Linked DNA regions of Callithrix jacchus. The protein of the gene in region 2 interacts with the protein of the main gene of each other region in a biochemical or structural test. Links are inferred from orthologs where the notes say so. Each region holds a gene or a part of one and is shown on either strand. Other genes may lie near its edges. The genes, in order: TLK2, ASF1B and CHAF1B.

The links.
Region 1: of the proteins of ASF1B (region 2) and TLK2, one has a biochemical effect on the other in vitro, tested with the Homo sapiens proteins (3 studies listed by BioGRID). The link is inferred for Callithrix jacchus from reciprocal best matches to the Homo sapiens genes ASF1B and TLK2.
Region 3: the proteins of ASF1B (region 2) and CHAF1B form a complex in vitro, tested with the Homo sapiens proteins (2 studies listed by BioGRID and IntAct). The link is inferred for Callithrix jacchus from reciprocal best matches to the Homo sapiens genes ASF1B and CHAF1B.

What each region holds. Positions count from the first base shown.
Region 1 is NC_133506.1:87,824,649-87,831,720, reverse strand, and holds part of TLK2 (serine/threonine-protein kinase tousled-like 2), read right to left. Parts: coding exon 6,966-7,072; intron 6,013-6,965; coding exon 5,947-6,012; intron 3,368-5,946; coding exon 3,301-3,367; intron 1,594-3,300; coding exon 1,496-1,593; intron 1-1,495. UniProt on the Homo sapiens protein: Serine/threonine-protein kinase involved in the process of chromatin assembly and probably also DNA replication, transcription, repair, and chromosome segregation. Phosphorylates the chromatin assembly factors ASF1A and ASF1B.
Region 2 is NC_133523.1:12,909,001-12,916,622, reverse strand, and holds the start of ASF1B (histone chaperone ASF1B), read left to right. Parts: upstream 1-2,988; 5' UTR 2,989-3,129; coding exon 3,130-3,238; intron 3,239-7,622. UniProt on the Homo sapiens protein: Histone chaperone that facilitates histone deposition and histone exchange and removal during nucleosome assembly and disassembly. Cooperates with chromatin assembly factor 1 (CAF-1) to promote replication-dependent chromatin assembly.
Region 3 is NC_133522.1:42,433,126-42,440,197, reverse strand, and holds part of CHAF1B (chromatin assembly factor 1 subunit B), read right to left. Parts: intron 6,598-7,072; coding exon 6,494-6,597; intron 3,500-6,493; coding exon 3,403-3,499; intron 2,716-3,402; coding exon 2,631-2,715; intron 1-2,630. UniProt on the Homo sapiens protein: Acts as a component of the histone chaperone complex chromatin assembly factor 1 (CAF-1), which assembles histone octamers onto DNA during replication and repair.

The DNA.
Region 1 (7,072 bases), on a different chromosome or scaffold from region 2:
TTATAGCTGCTGTTGGTAGTCTGACAATCAACATCAACATGGCAAATTCTGAGAATAAATTTACACAGTTCAAAGAGGCAGCATAATTACAATGAATAATAGCACTAGCTGTAGAGCCACAGGACTCGAGTGCTGGTCTCAGTGTAGCTACACTAGATCTGTGACCTTTGTTGTTCCTCCTTTTTTCTGCCCTGCTACACAATGAGCGATGGTAGATTAGACTTGATTAGGGATTTTTAAATTGTGCTATTTGGCTCCTCCTCCAAACTATACAAGATCCACATGATCCCACCATTTCCAAACTACACACAGTAAAATTCCAAGAAATTTGTTATTTCCTTACAAATTGATTGCAGAATAGTGAAGTCACATGTTCTATGTGCATTCATTATTCTCTCTTTAAGACAAGGTCTATGATATAACTATGTTCCCCATATTACATTCCACCTTGGGTAGTTTCTTAATTAATATGATAAAGAAATGACAAGTTCTGGCAAAAACAAATTTTAAAATATTTTTACCTAGTTCCTGATCTTACACAATCTCACTATTAATCCTGAAGTTACTTTACTTTGATTTTAAGAAAGTAGCATGCCTATTTGGAGATACATTACTGCATGGTGGTTGGGATGAAAAAGATCCAAGTTTAACTCTTTAGTCACATTATTTATGGGTCCCTGGGTCAAGTTAACTTAATTTCTCTAAGCTTGTTTTCTGATTGATGTATTGCAGATGACTGGGTTATCCTGAGGATTAAATGAGAGCACTAAGGGCACTTAGGATCAAGCCTGATACACAGAGTTTTCAGGAAGTAGTACCTGCTATTGTCTGCCACTCTAGCAGAAAGAAAGGTCTATAGCTCTTATAAGCCAAACAAAAATACGCACACTATGGCTTTGTGAAAAAATGTTTCAGGGTCCGAAAATGTGGGAAAAAAACAGATTACTTATAAAAGCCCCTTTCTACTTTCAACCTACTTTTCCCATCTTCAATTCCTTAAATGACTAATAAGCAATGGTGGGCATTAATCTACAATTAATATACTGAACTTAAGAGTCTTACTTAGTCTCAACACTTGAATGGCTCTTAAAGGTCATTCAGAAACTGAGTGTCATCTCAGCCCAATATTCTTTCCACAACACCACACTATGAACTATGCTTCCCTTTCTTAAGGCTCTGTAGGTAAAACTGAATATGCAATGTATTTCAGCCATTTACAATTACCAAGCCATATTGTTTTAATAATCTCTACTCAGGTAAAAATGCTATGTGTATACACATATATACTTAATACATAAATTTAATACAATTATATATTTAAACCAAGGCAAATCATAATTTTGTTCACAAAATTGTATTAGATGCTACAAAAGAACTATACACTATGGAATCATTTATGTAACTTATATTAAGCAAATGCATTATTCCAGACCATTCAATTCATATCAGAAAGTGCTTAGCAATCTCCAACCCAATATACCCCCAAGTTGCTTACTGTGAATTATCTTCATTATGTATCCTTTTAAGTTCCCTGATATGTAGATTTCTAACCCTTTCTAGCCTTTCCAGCTCTGCCTGGATCTCTGCTTCCTCCTAAAGCAAAAAGGAAAGAAATAGCTCAAAATATGGGGAACTTTACCTTTCTGGGATCTTATTTCAAAAGCAACAGCAGACATTTGTCTTATGAAAAGCTAAAGAAAGGTATTTTGCATTGAAAGATTTATTTTTAAAAGATAAGAATTTTAATCATAATAAGCCCATAGAAAATAATAAAAGTCAAAGGCTGGGTGCGGTGGCTCACGCCTGTAATCCCAGCACTTTGGGAGGCCGAGATGGGTGGACCATGAGATCAGGAGTTCAAGACCAGTCTGGCCAAGATGCTGAAACCCCATCTTTATTAAAAATACAAAAATTTGCCAGGCGTGGTGGCACGTGCCTATAATCCCAGCTACTCGGGATGCTGAGGCAGAAAAATCACTTGAACCCAGGAGGCAGAGGTTGCAGTGAGCTAAGATCAAGCCACTGCACTCCAGCATGGGTGACAGAGCAAGACTCTGTCTCAAAAAAGAAAAAAGAAAATAATGAAATTCAAACCATACAGAGGAGTTCAGTGAGAAAAGTAGCTCTCTACCCTTCTCCTCCCTCCTCTCCACACCCACTCCCAAGATGTAGCCACTATCAAATTTCTTACGTTAAGTTTTCAGAAATGTTTTGTGCATATACATATAGACATAGAAACAATTTTTACAAAAATCAGGTCATCTATCTGGTCCTCCTCTTTACATATGGATTACACTTGATGCCTTAAGTTCTACTTATTTAACAAGCTCTGAGAACCCAGCGGGAAAAACGGCATGAAAACTAATATGTGAAATAAAAAACAAACAAATGCACATATACCAAAAGCAGTTCAGTAAATCCTTACTAACCATTATCACCGTAAATAGCATCCACCAATGTATGGGTTTCTGAATTCAAGAGCGGAGCAATCTACATCTAAGATATCTTAGTGAACATCATTAATAATAAATTCTATGTTATGTGTCTTTGTGTCTGAATAAGACTGGCATAAGACTTTCTCTTATTAGCTAGTTTAGGCAAGAAATAAGAGCTGACATGTGATTTAAAATATGGCAGGAGTCTTAACATCAATTTTAAAACCAACTGCTCTTAAAATTTAAATATTAAAAAAATAATTAAGTTTCACTCCAAAGATAACCACTTGGGAAGCCTTATATGTTCAGAATTATCTGCTGAGAGATCACTGGTAAAAACACTCTCATTGGGTTGCTGGAATTGTCTTGAAAATGGAAAGATAGATCAGGCATGGTGGCTCACACCTGTAACCTGTAATCCCAGCACTTTGGGAAGCCAAGGCAGGAGGATCACTTGAGGTCAGGAGTTTGAGACCAGCCTGGTCAAGACGGTGAGACCCTCATCTCTACTAAAAATACAAAAATTAGCTGGCTGTGGTGGTGCACACCTGTAATCCCAGCAACTTAGGAGGATGAGGCACAAGAATCGCCTGGGCCCAGGAGGCAGAGGTTGCAGTGAGCTAAGATCGATCATGCCATTGCACTCTAGCCTGGGAGACAGAGTGAGATTCCATTTCAAAAAAAGAAAACAGAAAGATATGAGTTCTACCATTAGGCTATGAGACGTGACAGTGAAAGCAGTCACTCAAGCTTTCTGCCACTATGTGAAACTACTATTACATTTGCCCAAATGACCAAATAGCTTAAAACCTAAATGTAAACTGGGTAACATATTTCTCCAGAGAGATTTTCTCATTATACTTACTTTTTTAAGATGACCTAATCTGAGTTTGAAGATTTCTTCTTGTTCATGGTATTCTGCTAATGTTAACCTGAAAAACAGTGGTTAAAAGTTTCAGTAAATTACTTGAAATCATAGTTTGCCTATTTGAAGAGAATAGCCCAAATATACAATAAGACAAATTCAGTTTCAGTCTCAGTTAAAATCACTGAAGGATAGGTTATCCTGTAGTCCTCTGACAAGAAAAAACTTCCGCGATTTATTAGATATGATGTGAGAGAAAGACTTCAAAGCCAAAAAGCCTAATTTGCAAAACATAAAAAAAAAAGTGAGCCATATTTAAAATTTTTTTTCTTTTTCTTAATGACTTTCTTTTAACAGCATTTTATATTATTTTTGAAATGAGTTTCGTCCAATTTACTCAGATTAAAAACTCATTCAGAGAGAGCCAAAAATTGTTTAAAATTCTTTTAGAGGCCAAAACAGTCAGTCAATGGATTTGATTATTCTTGTTAACACCTAAACCTTGATGCTATAATAACAAAGAGAAAGACATAAAAGCAAATTCGAGTCTACGATTTGGAGTATGAGGACTAGAGTTCAAGGTATTAATAAGATACTGGCCATGTGACCTTGGGCAAACAACTTTAATTTCTTAAGTCAGTTTTTTTGAAATGCGGCAAGTGATAATACCTATCTAAGAAAACGTTGGGACTATTAAACGACAACGAAAAAAGAACATTGAAAATGCTATCTAAACCAGTTCTCAAAGGGCTGACTTGATGGGTATTCATGTGTTTCATATTCCACCTACTCCAACAGCATCCTTATATCTCAAGAATAAACAAGTGGCCAGCCTCAGTGGCCAGTAGTCTGGGAGGCTGAGGGGAAAGATCACTTGGAGCCAGGAGTTCCAGCCTGGGCAACAAAGCAAGACTCTTGTCTCTGTGCAGGGGAAAAAAAAGAAAGAAAAAACTGAGCATGGTGGCATATGCCTGTAGTCCCAGCTACTCAGGATGCTGAGATGGAAGGACTGCTTGAGCTCAGGAGGTTGAGGCTACAGTGAGCTATAATCATGCCACTGCACTCCAGCCTGAGCAACAGAGCAAGACTCTCTTTAAAAAAAAAAAAAGGGCTGGGCGCAGTGGCTCATGCCTGTAATCCCAGCACTTTGGGAGGCCAAGGTGGGTGGATCACGAGGTCAAGAGATCGAGACCATCCTGGTCAACATGGTGAAACCCCGTCTCTACTAAAAATACAAAAAAAAAAAATTAGCTGGGCACGGTGGCGCGTGCCTGTAATCCCAGCTACTCAGGAGGCTGAGGCAGGAGAATTGCCTGAACCCAGGAGGCAGAGGTTGCGGTGAGCCGAGATCGCACCATTGCACTCCAGCCTGGCTAACAAGAGCGAAACTCCGTCTCAAAAAAAACAAAAAAAGGAAAAAAAAAAGATCAATAAGTTACAATTATTATTTTATTCTTCCTTCCATCTCTACCTTCTTCACATTCTAGAATCATACACAGATACTTAACATTTTTAGATATCACTGTTTAGATATATTCTAAATTGCAGAAGAAAGAGGAAACACCTATCCTATCAACCAGAACAGAGCCTTTGATGTCTAACTCAAGGAAAATAGAACAAACTCATCCACTAGGGCTCTTTATAGATGCAGAAATACCTGCATCTACTACTCCATTTCACACTAGCAAAAAACAGAGAAATAAAAAATCATGGCTAAGAATTATCTGTCTGAAACAGGTTCAGGGCCAAGAAAGGATATTATGACTTACTCCAAGACTTCAGAGGCCTATATCTGGCTTCTGGTCAAAATAAGAGCCAAGTCACAGATACTCTAATTAAAAACTGGACTGAAGGTCTTCTAGCTTGGATTTTACACAGGACTCCAGATGCCAACTGCTTACACATTACTAGCCTAGATTCCATTCTAACTATTGTTCTGTGGCAAAGAAACAACCTTTGCCTTCTTCATCACTCCTAATCCAATGGTTTTATGCATCAGCATTAAATAATTTTCAAGTGATACTAGAGGGAAAGTCCCTTCACAAAATAAACACAGGAGTCATGAAAGAAAACACTGATCAGATTAATTAGCCTGGAGAATCTTTCAAATCTGAGCCCCTACTTGGACTTGCTGAAAGGAAAATATTTAAAGACTCGATAATCTTCCCCTCTTCTCATTCTCATTACTGCACTTGACTAGTTTTTAAAATCAAGGGGAAAAAAGACTCTAATTTTAAAACATTTGGGCCGGGTGCAGTAGCTCAAGCCTGTAATCCCAGCAATCTGGGAGGCGGACAAGGGTGGATCATTTGAGATCAGGAGTTTTAGACCAGCCTGGCCAACATGGCAAAACCCCCATCTCTACTAAAAATACAAAAATTAGCCGGCTGTGGTGGTTCGCTTGTAGTCCCAGCTACTCAGGAGGATGTGGCAGGAGAATGGCTTGAACACGGGAGATGGAGGCTGCAGTGAGCCAAGATTGTGCCACAGCACTCCACTCTGGGTGACAGAATGAGACTTTGTCTCAAAAAAAAAAAAAAAAAAAAAACTGGAGCTTTATGAATCAAGATGTTTTCCAAGTTCATTATGTACATTTTTATCACTAAACTTAATGTAATTATTAGTTTATTTATCTGTTCATCTCACCTAAGTAAACTGTGGGCTCCTAAGGCTGGGGCTGAATCCTTTAGCTCTGTATTCCCAGAAGAGGGCCTAACATAAAATAAGCATTTAACACAGACTTACTAAATGAATATCAAGAAAAAGACTTCCCAAAACATCAGATACATATGGGGTAAGGATTGGTGTTAAGCCATCTTTCTCACTAGAATGAAGATGCATTTCTAGGATGTCACAGACTTTTAACAATAATATTATACCTGAAGTGGATTATGTGTTGTATTTGTGAACATAAAAATATAAAGGAAATGACATATTAGTTGATTAGTTATATGATATCATATCTTTTATTTGTAGTTATATTTGGACATGAAATTTACTTTCAGTTAAAGAGAAAGGAAGACATGAATGGAGAAGGCAGGCATTTATTTGTGCTTAGAATTTTCTACTCTTCCTATACATGGTAGCTATGTAAATACTGTTGAATGACAGAGAAAAGATGACTATACTGCAGCTTAAGATACTGGTGTTTTCCTCAGATTCCCAGAACAGGAAACTATTCTGATGAGGTCAAGTTTTGGCTTATTGCGACAATGTCCTTTTTCTAACATAACAGCTTTTTCGGGGGTTTATCTGAAGTTTGCCACTATTAACTAAGTGCTCTTTTGACCAGTAAAGAGCATTCTTCAGTCTGAAATAGCAGCCAAGCAACTCCCATAAGATGATACCAGTGTACCACACCTGGAGCCACATGTGTGCAACAGTATCATTTCAGTACAATGACATTTTATTTAACCAGGAGTGGCCAAAAGTCATGATGTCAAGTGACGTTACTTTTCCCTCTCATTTGAAACGCCCTCAATAAAGAGCAGGTTTAAGAAAATCAGTTAATTTTATATGGCATTCATATGAGTTGAGCAAATCCATTAACATAACTGAAAAGACGTGACCTCCAGAATTTATAACTTGCCAGTGGCAATCAACAGGACATTTGTATTTGGGGGCAGGGTGTGGTGTCTCAGAGTTCACGTCAATAAAGAACATACGTTTCATTTTCAGCTCCATTGGTCTTGCTTTTTCGCTGTTTCTGCTCATTGGTTGCAGGAGGGGCCTGACCCATGGCAGGAGGTTTCCGCTTTGCTAACATTTTCCG
Region 2 (7,622 bases):
TGCAACCTCCACCTCCCAGGTTCAAGCGATTCTCCTGCCTCAGCCTCCTGAGTAGCTGGGATTACAGGCACATGCCACCATGCCCAGCTAATTTTTTTTTTTTTTTTTTTTTTTTTTTTTTTTTAGTAAAGACGGGGTTTCACCATGTTGGCCAGGCTGGTCTCCAACGTCTGACTTTGTGATCCACCCACCTTGCCCACCTTGGCCTCCCAAAGTGCTGGGATTACAGGTGTGAACCTCCACGCCTGGCGGCTTGTTGGATTTTTAACAATAAGAGGGCTACTTAGGCTGGGTTGAAGTTGGAGCTGGGTGGTTAACAGGAGACAAAGCACAGAGTTTGGAAGACGTTTTCATCCTGAGAAGTGACCTGATCAAATGTGTTTTGATTATTACTGGACACCTCCGCTGTCCAGTAATACAGTAGCCACTTGTCACCGGGGCTCAGGAGCACCCAACAGTGGCTATCAAGACTAAACCGCCCTTTTTTTTTTTGTTTTTTGGAGACAGTCTCGCTCTATCACCAGGCTGGAATGCAGTGGCTCGATCCCGGCTCACGGCAACTTCTGTTTTCCTGTTTCAAGCAATTCTCCTGCCTCAGCCTCCAGAGTAGCTGGAACTACAGGCATGCACCACCACCCCCAGCTAATTTTTTTTGTATTTTTAGTAGAGATGAGGCTTCATCATGTTGGCCAGGATGGCCTCGATCTCCTGACCTTGTGATCCACCTGCCTCGGCCTCCCAAAGTGCTGGGATTACAGGTGTGAGCCACTGCATCCAGCCCCCTGAACTTTTTTTTAAATTTAATTTTAATTTTTAGAGACAGGGTCTCACTCTGACACACAGCCTGGAGTGCAGTGGCTAAACATCCTGGGCTCAAGTGATCCTCCTGTCTCAGCCTCCCAGGTAGCAGAGTACAAGTGTGCACTATCACACCTGGCTTATTCTTTTATGTTGCCCAGACTGATCTTGAACTCTTGGCCTCAAGAAATCCTCCATGCCCAGACTCTAAAATTTAATTTTTAAACAAAGTAAAATTTAAATTAAAAAAAAAAAAAAAAAAAGACATGGCCGGGCGCAGTGGCTCACACCTGTAATCCCAGCACTCTGGAAGGCCGAGGTGGGCAGATCACTTGAAGTCAGGAGTTCAAGACCAGCCTGGCCAACATGGTGAAACCCTGTCTCTATTAAAAATACACACACGAAATTAGCTGGTTGTGGTGGTGCACACCTGTAATCCCAGCTACTCAGGAGACAGGCAGGAGAACCGCTTGAACCCGGGAGGTGGTGGCTGCAGTGAGTCGAGATCGTACCACTGCACTTCAGCCTGGGTAGGTGAGTGAGACTCCGTCTCAAAAAAAAAAAAAAATACAAAAATTGAGCTCGTGGAAGACTCTGAAGTACGTCGAGAATAGTAGGAATGTGTGAATCTACATTTTCAACTGCAAACCTTATGAAACATAAGAAACCAGATCAACGATTTTTTGAAGAAAATGTATTCACATGCCCGATGACAGACGTGCAGCTGAGTGTACAACACAAGGAATCTCAACGTCTTTTCACTGGGTAAAAGAACGCAACACGCTGTGTGTTAGCGGCTCAGAGCTGTGGCTCACGCCTGTAATTCTTGCACTTTTGGGAGCCTGAGGCGGGCGGATCACTTGAGGTCAGGGGTTCGAGACCAGTCCGACCAACATGGAGAAACTCCGTCTCTACGAAAAAACAAAAATTACCCAGGCATGGTGGTGTGCGCCTGTAATCCCAACTACTCCGGGGTGGCTGAGGAAGGAGAGTCTCTTGAACCTGGGAGGTGGAGGTTGCAGTGAGCCAAGATGGAACCACTGCACTCCAGCCTGGGCCACACAGCGAGACTCGGTTTTTTTTTAAGTGGCTTCCAAAAAATGTATAATTAGGTGCGCGGCAGGCATTACTTTTCCACTGGGCAGCGCTGATTTCCCGTGGGACAGTCTCCCAGGCGACGGCCCAGGTGGGATGCGGCGGAGAGAAGTTTCTGGATGTATTATGTGGTCATGAGTCATGCCAGGGAATTTCCACGGCCCGTTCAATGGGAAGGGAGACGCTGCCTCGAAAGCCGAGTAGCAGAGCACCGACTCGAACTGGAACTCCCATTTTCAGTTCCGTCCGCTTGAAACCTCCCAAGAGCCCACCAGGGGGCGAGAAAGGGATTCCAACCCCTCGGGGGCAAGAACGGGATCCAAACTCGGCCAGACTCCCGAGGTCCGAGCGCGGCGCGTGACCGCCACTCCGAACGTTCACAACGTTCACAACGGACACCCGGGCTGCTGCACCTCGAGGTCAGGAGCCAGCCACTCAGAAAAGCTCCAGCAGACGCTCACCTGTTGAACAGACGCTGAGGCCGCAAACGCTCCTCCTCTCTCTTCACACACCCCGGCACCAGGGTAACTCCCACTTCCGCTTCTCTCCAACTAATCCCCAGCTGAGCCTCCTTAGGCTCCCGCTTTCATTACCAATCCAGCCAATCAACTCTCAAAAAACCCTCTTTATCTCCGCCCCACTCCCTCCTGCCAATCACTGGGGGTGCGAGCACCGCCCTTCCCGCCTTCTTTAGCGAGCACCGCGCGCCACCGCTCGGCGGTTGGCGGCGCTGCGCGCTGCGGGATACATATCCCGGAATAGTGGGGCGAGGGGCGGGCCACGCCGGTGCGGGAACCCTCAGGATTGGCCAGCAGGAGGCCGGCGCTCTGACTCTGTCCACTCCTGCCGTTGACCTCCTAGTCGGAGACGCTGGGGATTGGTTCCCAGAGGACACGCTAAGAAGCCTGGAGGTGGTTCCACCCTCCTCACGCTCCGCGGAGAGGGAGCTCCGCTGATTGGTCCAAGGAGTCTGGGCGCGCGCCGACTGGCGCTCCAGGATTGGCTGAGAGGGTGCGCGCGCCGCCAGGGAGCGTTGGCGGTGATTGGCCAGAGGGCGGAGGCCGGCTATTTGAAGGCGGCGCGCGTACGAGATGCGCACTTCAGTCCGCGGAGGGAAGAGTTTGGAGTGGGTTTTGTCAACCCTACCCCGCTGACCTCACCACCGGACCCAGACGCGGCCTCGGCCACAGCCCCTGCCCCTGCCCCTGCTGCAGCGCAGTGAGGCGAGGCGAGGCGATGGCCAAGGTGTCGGTGTTGAACGTGGCGGTACTGGAGAACCCGAGCCCTTTCCACAGCCCCTTCCGGTTCGAGATCAGCTTCGAGTGCAGTGAAGCCCTGGCGGACGGTGAGGCTGGGATTGTGCGGGTTAATCCCCACCCTCGGGCCGACCCCGGCCTCCCCGCGGAAAACTGCTCTCATGGCCAACTTGATCTCCCCCATGAAACTCCTCGTCCTCCCTCTCAGCTAACCCCGATCTCCCCCAGCCCGCCAGTCAACCCGGTGTCCGGGTGGAGACCCCCCCCCCCCCAGTCACCAGCCAACCTGGACCTCCCCGGGACTTCCTTCCCCACTGCCCGCATTGACCTCCCGGGTGGAGGCTTCCCGCTAGCCAACTCGGACATCCCAGTGATCTTCGCCACTGCCCGCCCCAACCTCCCCATAGAGATTAACGCCCCCCACCCAAGCCCCATTTCCAGCGTGGGGAGCCTCATCCATCTTTTTTCTTTGGAGCTCTTCCGAGGTACCCATTTTCATGCAGAGACCTTCTCGGCCTCTATTTCTTAACCCACGGAGATCTTCAGCCACTGTGGCTTCCCTGTGGCAAGACCCCTGTTTCAGCCACCCACCCATTTTTGCCCACTTAGACTCTTTCCTATAGTGAGATACTCCCATCTCCCTTTTTCCCTCTGGAGACCCCACTCTCCAGCCCCTTCCCATTTTTCCCGGGGAAAATCCCAGCCATTTTCTATTTCCCCTATGGAGACCTCTCCCCCAACTCCCTTCTCCCCCCACCGTGAAGACCCTCCCCTCCAGTAACCTTTTTTCCCTATGAAAACCCGTCAATCCCTTGTCAAGACCGCTCTCTTCCCCCATCTTCCCATCTGTCTCCCGGCTCTCCCCTCCCCAACCTGCCGATATTTCAATAACCCTGCCCCCCACCAATTGCTGCTGGTTTTCTACCCCAATGCACATACCCTGGAACCTGATTTCCCTCCTTCGTTGGGGCCCAACCTCCCTATCCCTGAGCTCCCCCGGGGAAGGATGCTACCCTTTGCAGTAACTTGGTCTCCCCAGCTCCCTTTCCCCACCCTCTTCTGTGGGCTTGGACATACACGCTGAGATCCGAGGGGTGGCATAGCCAGGCAGGCATTAGTAGTTCCCCAGGTTTGCCCGCCCATTTCCAGCTGACTGACTGCAGCAATTCTTCGCTTTTTCTTCTTTTTTTGAAAGAGAGTCTTGCTCTGTTGCCCAGGCTGGAGTGCAGTGGCACTTCACTGCAACTTCAGCCTCCTGAGTAGCTGGGATTACAGGCGCCTGCCACTACGCCCGGCTAATTTTAGTATTTTTAGTAGAGGCGGGGTTTCACCACGTTAGCCAGGCTGGTTGCGAACTATGGACTATAAGTGATCCACCCACCTTGTCCTCCCAAAATGCTGGGATTATAGGCACAGGCCACCACAGCTGGCCAATTTTAGTATTTTTAGTAGGGTTTCACCATGTTAGGCAGGCTGGTCTCGAACTCCTAACCTTGTGATCCACCTGCCTCAGGCTCCCAAAGTGCTGGGATTACACGGGCATGAGGCACTGCGCCTAGTTTTCTTCTTGTTTCTTCTTCTTCTTCCTTTCTTCTTTTATATAGCTGGATAATCAGTGCCAAGCTTCCATTGCTTTTGATGGTCTGACCTAGTCTGGGGGTGGGTGGACTGGGCTGAGCTCTGACAGGCTCCAGCTTCAAACAGTCAGCTGGAGCTTAGGGGTCACAGCCTCTTACGCATCTTTTCCAAGGTGCTTCCGCAGATGTACTTATTAATCTGTGTGACTTAAAGGTGCACATGGCTCTCATCTCACAGATGAGAGGACAGGAGGCACAAAGCGCAAAAGACCTTTCACGTCAAGGCTTGTACAATCCAGAATCTAAGGTCACCCAGGGAGCCTTGGCACCACTAAAAGGCGAGTCCTGCTTTCAGGAAGAAGTACTTCATTAGGCCATTTTTCTACTTGGTGGTTAAAAGAGAAAAGGCACAGCCGAGGAGGTGGCCGTGCAGTGGCCTGTGAAGCCGGGGGTGCTAACTAGTGCCTCTTGGGGTCAGGTGGGTGGTTTCCCCTCCAAGCTGGTGGCGTGTATTAGCTCGGGGCTGATACAGTGAGATTCAGATGTGCTCTGGGTAGGCCAGTAGGTCCACCTCTTCCTGAGGAGTCTACTTGTGGCTAACTATAGAATAAGCCAAGTTAAATCCTTTCTGGAACAGGGCAGCATGTAAATAAATAAAGTGTAGAATGTCACTGTGGAATAAGATTTAATTTAAAAGCCAGGAGGAGATGGAAGGAGGTAATAGGCTGAGGGATTCCCAGCTTCCAGGCGGCAGGAGATCGGGTTTCAATCAGCCTGTTTGTGTTCCTTGCATTTACAAATGGTGATGCGGTCATTATCTGATACTTCTACTCCTAGGAAGCTCCTGTCCTGTGACTTTACTAACTTACTTAGAGAATTAGTTGGAAAGGCTAAAGTCAACCTGCTGGTATTTTTTTTTTTTTGAGACAGAGTGTTGCTCTGTTGCCCGGGCTGGTGTGCAGTGGCACGATCTTGGCTCATTGCAACCTCTGCCTCCTGGGTTCAAGCAATTCTGCCTCAGCCTCCTGTGTAGTTGGGACTACAGGCACGCACCTCCATGGCTGGCTAATTTAGTAGAGATGGGATTTCACCACGTTAGTCAGGCTAGTCTCGAACTCCTGAACACAAGACTTGGCCTCCAAAAGTGCTGGGATTACAGGCATGAGCCACCTCACCTGGCCCTGCTGGTCATTTTTTAATAGAAATGGAATGACTTGGCGGGGCACAGTGGCTCACGCCTATAATCCCAGCGCTTTGGGAGGCCGAGGCGGGTGGATCACGAGGTCAAGAGATCAAGACTATCCTGGTCAACAAGGTGAAACCCCTTGTCGATACAAAAATTAGCTGGGCATGGTGGTGCGTGCCTGTAGTCCCAGCTACTCGGGGGGCTGAGGCAGGAGAATTGCTTAAACCCAGAAGGCGGAGGTTGTGGTGAGCCGAGATTGTGCCATTGCACTCCACTCTGGGTAACAACAGCGAAACTCCATCTCAAAAAAAAAAATGAAATGGAATGACTTCTCAGGGGTCACACAGCCAATTTATAGAAGTATTGTCACTGATTTCTGAATCTAAGTTCTTTATCTTCACAATCTTTATCTTTCCAATTCAGGGAAAGAAAGGAAGGATTCCCTATTTCAGAGGTGGAGCATAGATAACGAACGACCATAGAATGTATTGCCAAATGAGGACACTCAAAACTCAGTGAAGGGGTGTGCTATTATTATTATTTATTTTTGAGATGGGGTCTCACTCTAGTGTCACCCAGGCTACAGTGCAGTGGCGCAATCTCAGCTCACTGCACTCTCCACCGCCTGAGTTTAAGCGATTCTCCAGCCTCAGCCTCCCAGGTAGCTGGGACTACCAGTGTGTGCCACCACGCCTGGCTAATTTTTGTATTTTTGGTAGAAACAAGGTTTTACCATGTTGGCCAAGCTAGTCTCAAACTCCTGACTGCAAGTGATCTGCCTGCCTCGGCCTCCTAGTGCTGGGACTACACTTCGAATCCCAAGCGCCTGGCCAGGGAATGCTATGATTAACTGCACCTGGATGATAAAGCTTTTTCTTCAGGATACTCAAGTGAGAAATCCGGGCTTTTCCAGTCCTAGGGCTGTCTGTGACTGCTCTGCCAGCTTGTTTTCTGCCTCTTTCTGGCCTCCTCTCCATGAAATGAGAGAATCTGCCTCAATCTCAGCAGTGTCAACTGAAGATCTGACAAAACCCCTAACCCAGCTATGTGAGGTGGCTCATGCCTGTAATCCTAACCCAGCTATGTGAGGTGGCTCATGCCTGTAATCCTAACCCAGCTATGTGAGGTGGCTCATGCCTGTAATCCTAACCCAGCTATGTGAGGTGGCTCATGCCTATAATCCCAGCAATTTGGGAGGCTAAGGAAGGAGGATTGCTTGAACCTAGGAGTTTTAGGCCAGCCTGGGTAACAGCAAAACCTTGTCTCTACAAAAACATCAGAAAATTAGCCAGGCTTGGTGGCATGTGCCTGTGGTCCCAGCTACTCAGGAGGCTGAAGTGGGAAGATTGCATGAGCCCAGCAGGTGAAGGCTGCAGGGAGCCAAGATTGCACCACTGTACTCCAGCCTGGACAAGAGAGCAAGACCCCATCTCAAAAAAACCACCCTAACCTTTAAGCCCCAGTCAGGTGATCCGTGTTTCTCAAGGGCTGCAAGCCCCCTTTGCACTTATATCTTCAACATCTAGAAATAGATGCTTCCAAGTCCTAGAACCCAGATGTTCTGACCCAGAACTAACGCAGTGGTTATGGTAGCAGGGCTCATCTGTGATTATGAACAAAGGCAAAAAAAATGGGGGAGCAGCAACCTCCACCTGCTGGGTTCAAGCAATTCTCCTGTCCCAGCCTCCCAAGTAGCTGGGACTACAGATG
Region 3 (7,072 bases), on a different chromosome or scaffold from region 2:
TTTATTTATTTTTATTTTTATTTATTTTTTTTGAGATGGAGTCTTGCTCTGTCGCCAGGCTGAAGTGCAAGGATGCAATCTTGGCTCACGGCAACCTCCACCTCCCCAGATAAAAGCAATTCTCCTGCCTCAGCCTCCCAAGTAGCTGGGACTACAGGCACATGCCACCACGCCCAGCTAACTTTTGTATTTGTAGTGGAGATGGGGTTTCACCATGTTGGCCAGGATGGTCTCCATCTCTCGACCTCATGATCCACCCGCCTTGGCCTCCCAAAGTGCTGGGATTATAGGCATGAGCCACCACGCCCAGCCTATTTATTTAGAGACAGCATCTTGTTCTGTCACCCAGGCTAGAGTGCAGCGGCACAATCATAGGTCACTGCAACCTAGAACTTCTGAGCTCAAAGCAATCCTCCCACCTCAGCCTCCTGAGTAGCAGGGACTATAGGCACATGCCATCACCTCCAGCTATTAATAAATGTATCTTTTTAAAAAAGAAAATAGTGGATTATTAAACTGGTTATCATTAATCTTCCCAAACAACATTTCTTGAACACCTGTCTAACACAGGTCTTATTACTATTTATTGACATTTTATAAACATCAAGCATGTGCTGGGCATGATGGCTCACACCTGTAATCCCAGCACTTTGGGAAGCTGAGGCAGGCAGATCACTCGACGCCAGGAGTTCGAGACCAGCCTGGCCAACATAGCAAAACCCCGTCTCTATTAAAAATACAATTATCCAAGCATAGTGGCACACGCCTGTAATCCCAGCTACTCGGGAGGCTGAGGCAGGAGCAACACTTAAACCTGGGAGGTGAAGGTTGCAGTGAGCCAAGATCACACCACTGCACTCCAGCTTGGGAGACAGAGCCAGACACTGTCTCAACAAACAAGCAAGCATTTAATTCTTAAGAACACAAGGAAGCAGGCATTATTATTATTTTATTTATTTGTTTATTTATTTTGAGATGGAATTTCACTCTTGTTGCCCAGGCTGGAGGGCAATGGCACAATCTCGGCTCACTGCAACTTCCACCTCCTGGGTTCAAGCAATTCTCTTGACTCAGCCTCCGGAGTAGCTGGGACTATAGGCATGTGCCACTATGCCCAGTTAATTTCTGTATTTTTAGTAGAGACAGGGTTTCACCATGTTAGCCAGGCTAGTCTTGAACTCCTGACCTCAGGTGATCTGCCCACCTTCACCTCCTAAATTGCTGGAATTACAGGCATGAGCCACTGCACCCAGCCGGCATTACTACTCTTACTTCGCAGGTGTGACCTCTCAGTGCATGTCAGTGGCCAGCCCACACTGCCTTACCCTGCTTTCTTGGAGGGATGTGCACCAAGTTCCCATGTGAAGCCAGTAACCGGCTTACTCCCCTGTACCTTGGTGTCTGCCTCAGTAGCCTTGAGTCCTTTAGGACTACAGTCCTATTTTCATTTGCCAATTCTTTCAAAGTCAAAATCCTTCCTATTTCTAAATAACAGAGTTTTGGCTGCGTCTCTGCTGTCTGCTACCAAAGCTCTCTATCTACCTGCCAAGATAGTAAAGTGAATGCTGCCAGACAGATCCAAAGCTGGACTGCCTGTCTTCTGTTACCTCATGTAGGGATCTTCCCAGATCAGTTGTGACCAGCCCTCACTACATCTGAGATTCATGGCAGCCCTACCTACCTCCAACCAAGTGAATCACACCACTCAGGCTGGGGCCAAGGCATCCATATTTTTATTCTTATTTTATTTTAATTAATTATCTATATGAGATCGAGTTTCATTCTGGTCACCCAGGCTGAAGTGCAATGGCGCGATCTGAGCTCACAGCAGCCTCTGCCTCCTGGGTTCAAGCAATTCTCCTGCCTCAGCCTCCTTAGTAGTTGGGATTATAGGCATGCACCACCATGCCCATCTAATTTTGTATTTTTAGTAGAGACGGGGTTTCACCATGTTGGCCAGGCTGGTCCCGAACTCCTGACCTCAGGTGATCTGCCCACCTCAGCCTCCCAAAGTGCTGGGATTACAGGTGTGAGCCATCATGCCCAGCCTTATTTTATTTTATTTTTGAAACAGAGTCTCGCTCTATCATCCAGGCTGGAGTGTAGTGGCATGATCTCAGCTCACTGCAACCTCCGCCTCCCAGGTTCAAGTGATTCTCATGCCTCAGCTTCCCGAGTAGTTGGGATTACAGGTATGTACCACCACGCCCAGATAATTTTTGTAATTCATAGAGATGGGATTTGGCCATGTTGGCCAGGCTGGTCTCAAACTCTTGACCTCAAGTGATCCGCCCACCTCAGTCTCCCAAAGTGTTGGGATTCCAGGTGTGAGCCACCACGCCCGGCCAGCACCCATATTTATAATGCTTCCCAGGTGATTCTACAGTGCAGCCAGGGTTGAAAACCACTGTCCTGTCCTCCATTGGTGGCTCTCCCTTGGTCTCCAGATGTCCCCATTTCCATACAGATTAGCCCACCACACTAACTGAGCCTTGACTGTCCAAGAGGAGGCCTTATTATAGTTCAGGAATGGGGTCCTTGAGGCCAATAATTTGGCCACAAGGGTATGGGAGGAGCTCGTGACTTCCTAATAAAGTGCTGCTGAAAAAGAATGGCAAAATATTGTGTACCTCTCCTTCAGCCCCTATTCCAGACAGCATCTTCGAAACATTAAAAGCCACACGCTTCTTCTGTGTACTGTATACTCGCAGCACCCTGAAGAAAGAACACATTGATTTACCACTTCTAGTACATGAATTATGCTTCACACAGAAACAACTTATTACCAACAGCCTATAACCACCGCAACAATTTTCAGCCTGCAAAATCTTTTACCAGTGATATTCACAACTGGATAATGATGAAGGAAGTGAGTATTAGCAACCTAAAGAATATTATAGGCCGGGCGTGGTGATTCATGCCTGTAATCCCAGCACGTTGGCCAAGGAAGGCCAATCATTTGAGATCAGGAGTTCGAGAACAGCCTGACCAACATGGTGAATCCCTGTCCCTACTAAAAACACAAATATTAACCGGGTGTGGTGGTGCACACCTGTAATCCCAATTACTAGGGAAGCTGAAGCAGGAGAGTCACTTGAAACCAGGAGGAAGATGTTGCAGTGAGCTGAGACTGCGCCACCGCACTTTAGCCTGGGTGACAGACTGAGACTCTGTCTCCAGAAACAAACAAACAAACAAAAAGGATTTACTAAATACAAACTTCGTGTAAGGCACTTGCCCTAATTAATTTTCAATTTCTGATCATATTATAAGAATGAGTATAAAAGCAAGAACAAAAGAATCAAAGCTAGACTATGATAAATTTTGGTTAAGTTGTGATAAAAATCTCTCTGCAGAAAATTCCAAGTAAATACAAAGACAGCTTGCCAAAGCCGAATGTACCTGTCACAGCTCAGAGTAGCAACATATTGACCCAAAGGGTCCCAGGTTACTCCTTGGACATAACTTTTATGTTCATTAAAAATCGATATCTTTTGTCCTACAAAAAACACACACACACAAAACAGCATTATCAAAACTTATTTGAGCCCAAATAGCATAAACTATGACATAAATATTATTCCCTTTTACCATGTATCACTCAGCGGGCATAAGTGAGAGACTCCGTACTAAACCCTGTGTCAGGCTCTGGTGTTGCAAAGATGATTTCATGCAGTCCCCACCGTCAGGGAGCTCACAGATCAGACAGACCCATCAACAGGCAAGTATCACACATGTGGACCGGGAGAGGAGGGGGAGCTGATAGCACAGGGCACCGCGTCCCAGAAGATCTAAGTTCAGTTCCCCAGGTCAGGCAGGATGAGGAGGAGATGAAGGGTGGAAGAAGGTATTCTAAGGAAATCCACGGGGTTAAGACAGCTTAGTGTGGCCAGGCGAGGTGGCTCATGCCTGTAGTCCCAGCACTTTGGGAGGCTGAGGAGGGCGGATCACCTGAGGTCAGTAGTTCAAGACCAGCCTGACCAACGTGGTGAAACCCCATTTCTACTAAAAATACAAAAATTAGCTGGGCATGGTGGTGCATGCCTGTAATCCCAGCTACTTGGGAGGCTAAGGCAGGAGAATTGCTTGAACCTGGAAGGCGGAGGTTGCAGTGAGCCAAGGTGGCGCCATTGCACTCCAGCCTGGGCGACAAGAGCAAAACTCCGTCCCCCAAAAAAAGACAGATTAGTGAAGTGAATACGGAGCAGTGACAGGTGACCAAAAACTGCTAATGGGTACACTGGAGGGCCAAGAACAGAAGATAAGGAGGAAAGGAGAAATATTACAGACCGTGTGTGTAAGGAAAGGGCTGTGGGTAGTCAAGCTGAGAAGTCATCTGCATTTTAAAGTTCAAACAGGTTTACAAGATGACAAAGTGTCACTAGTTAGGAGGTGACCGAGTAGACCAGGAAAAAGATGAAGAGGGCCCAGAGCAGACAATGTGAACAGGGATAGAAAAGGGACTCAGAAAATATTCAGCACACAGAGATCGCCTGCATAAAAGGACAAGGGAGTTACGAAGCCTTGGCCATTCCTTTTTTTTTTTCTTTTTTTTGAGACAAGGTCTGGTCCTGGAGTGCAGTAGCACCATCAGAGCTCAATGCAGCCTCAACTTCCCAGGCTCAAGAGATTCAGCAGCCCGAGGAGCTGAGACTATCGGCCCGTACTACCACATCCAGTTAATTTTCGTATTTTTTTGGTAGATAGGGTTTTGCCATGTTGCCCATGCTGGTCTTGAACTCCTGGGATCAAGCAATCCTCCCAAAGTGCTGGGATTACAGGAGTGAGCCACTGTGTCTGGCAGGTCATTTTTTTTTTTTTTTTTTGAGGTTTTTGGTGAGGTTCTGTAGCAACACATCACACTCAAGATAAAACCTAAAATCCTGGCCAGGAGCAGTAGCTCACGTCTGTAATCCCAACATTTTGGGAGGCCAACACAGGTGGATCACTTGAGGTCAGGAGATCGAGACCAGCCTGGCCAAAAACCCTGTCTCCACTAAAAACACAAAAATTAGCTGGGTGTGGTGGTGGGTGCCTATAATTCCAACTACTCTGGGGGCTGAGGCAGGAGAATTGTTGAACCCAGAAGGCAGAGGTTGCAGTGAGCCAAGATTGCACCACTGCACTCCAGCCTGGGCGACTAAGTGAAACTCTGTCTCAAACAAACACACAAACAAACAAGACAGGATGGAGGACGGCTTGGCTGGACAGCATGGAACGAAAAAGAGCGAAGATTTTTATAAACCGGATGAGAGCTGGGCTGACACAATGCTTCGGGGACAGCCAACACCAACTCCCCTCCCCAGGGACTTGAGTTGTAGAATTGGCAGGAAGACGCTTAGGAGAAAACAAAGTTGAATAAAGGACGGTGGGGGATAAAAATGGTTAGGAATTAGCCCCTGCTTGCTTTTGGCATTTCAAAGCTATTTTTATACCACTATAACTTTTCACATGTCAACTGTCTCCCCAACTAGAGAACAGAATGTCCCTGGCTTTCCTTGATCTTCTGAAATGGAAACCTGATCCCACCTACCCCACCAACCAGCATGCCATGCCCTATAAATTATAAGTGACTTGTTAATCTTCCCAAGATCCTAGCCTCCATAAAGGCAGGGCCTGGGCCTGTCATCTTACCTGCAGGCCCCTCCATGTGGGATCTGCCTGGCCTCAGCATCAGTAACTCGCCTGCAGGTAAGATGACAGGCTGCTAAGCCTCTTACACTCTGACGATCCATGGCATATGAGACTGACCCCTATCCTGCTGAGCCAACTGTCTACTTCAATTAACTAAAACAATTGGTTGTGTTGCTTTTAAAGTTAAAGTAAGTAGACCGGGCCTGGTGGCTCATGCCTGTAATCCCAGCACTTGAGGAGGCCAAGGCAGGTGGATCACTTGAGTTCAAAAGTTTGAGACCAGCCTGGCCAATGGTGAAACCCTGTATCTACTAATGATAAAAAAAATTAGCCAGGCCTGGTAGCCCATACCTATAATCCCAGTTACTGGGGATGCTGAGGCAGGAGAATCTCCTGAACCCGGAGGCAGAGGTTGTAGTGAGCCAAAATCGCGCCACTGCACTCCAGCCTGGTCAAGAGCAAAACTCTGTCTCCAAAAAAATTAAAATAAAAAAATAAAGTTACAGGAAATCAGGGCCAGAGACAATGGCTCATACCTGTAATCTCAGCACTTTGGGAGGCCAAGGCGGGCAGATCACCTGGGGTCAGGAGTTCAAGACCAGCCTGGCTAACATGATGAAATCATCTCTACTAAAAACACAAGTATTAGCTGGATGTGGGGGTACACACCTATAGTCCCAGCTACTCAGGAGACTGAGGCAGGAGGATCGCTTGAACCCAGGAGGCAGAGGGTGCAGTGAGCCGCAATCGCCCCACTGTACTCCAGCCTGGGCGACAAAGCAAGACGGCCTCAAGAAAAGGCTTTTATAGACACTTAGAATATTTCTTCCTGCTGATAATAACAAAACAGATCATTTACCTTTATTGACATCCCATATGATGGCTGTGTTATCCACAGAGGCAGAAGCCATTAAATTCCCATCAGTTGCCCAGCAAATATCATACACATCTTCTAAGTGGCCCCTAGAATCCAAAACCAAAGAGGAAAAAAGCAATTACTGCCTGGGTGTCATGGCTCACGCATGTAATCCCAGCACTTTGGGAAGCCAAGGCAGGCAGACTGCCTGTGGTCAAGAGTTCAAAGACTAGCCTGGCTAACATGGCAAAACCCCATCTCTACTCAAAATACAAAAATTAGCCAGGTGTGCTTGTGTTTGCCTGTAGTCCCAGCTACTCAGGGGCTGAGGCAGCAGAAACCCCAGAACCCAGGACGCAGAGGTTGCAGTGAGCCAAGATCATGCCACTGTACTACAGCCTGCGTGACAGAGCAAGACTCCATCTCAAAAAACAAAAAAAAAATTTTAAAAAGCAAAAAAAGCCAGTATTAACTCAAAAAGGAACAAGTTTTCAAAAATATAAAGGCAAACTCTGGAACTATGCATTAAAATGAGATTCCAAAATTTCCACTGGCACCATATTGGCTAATAGTTATTAAAAA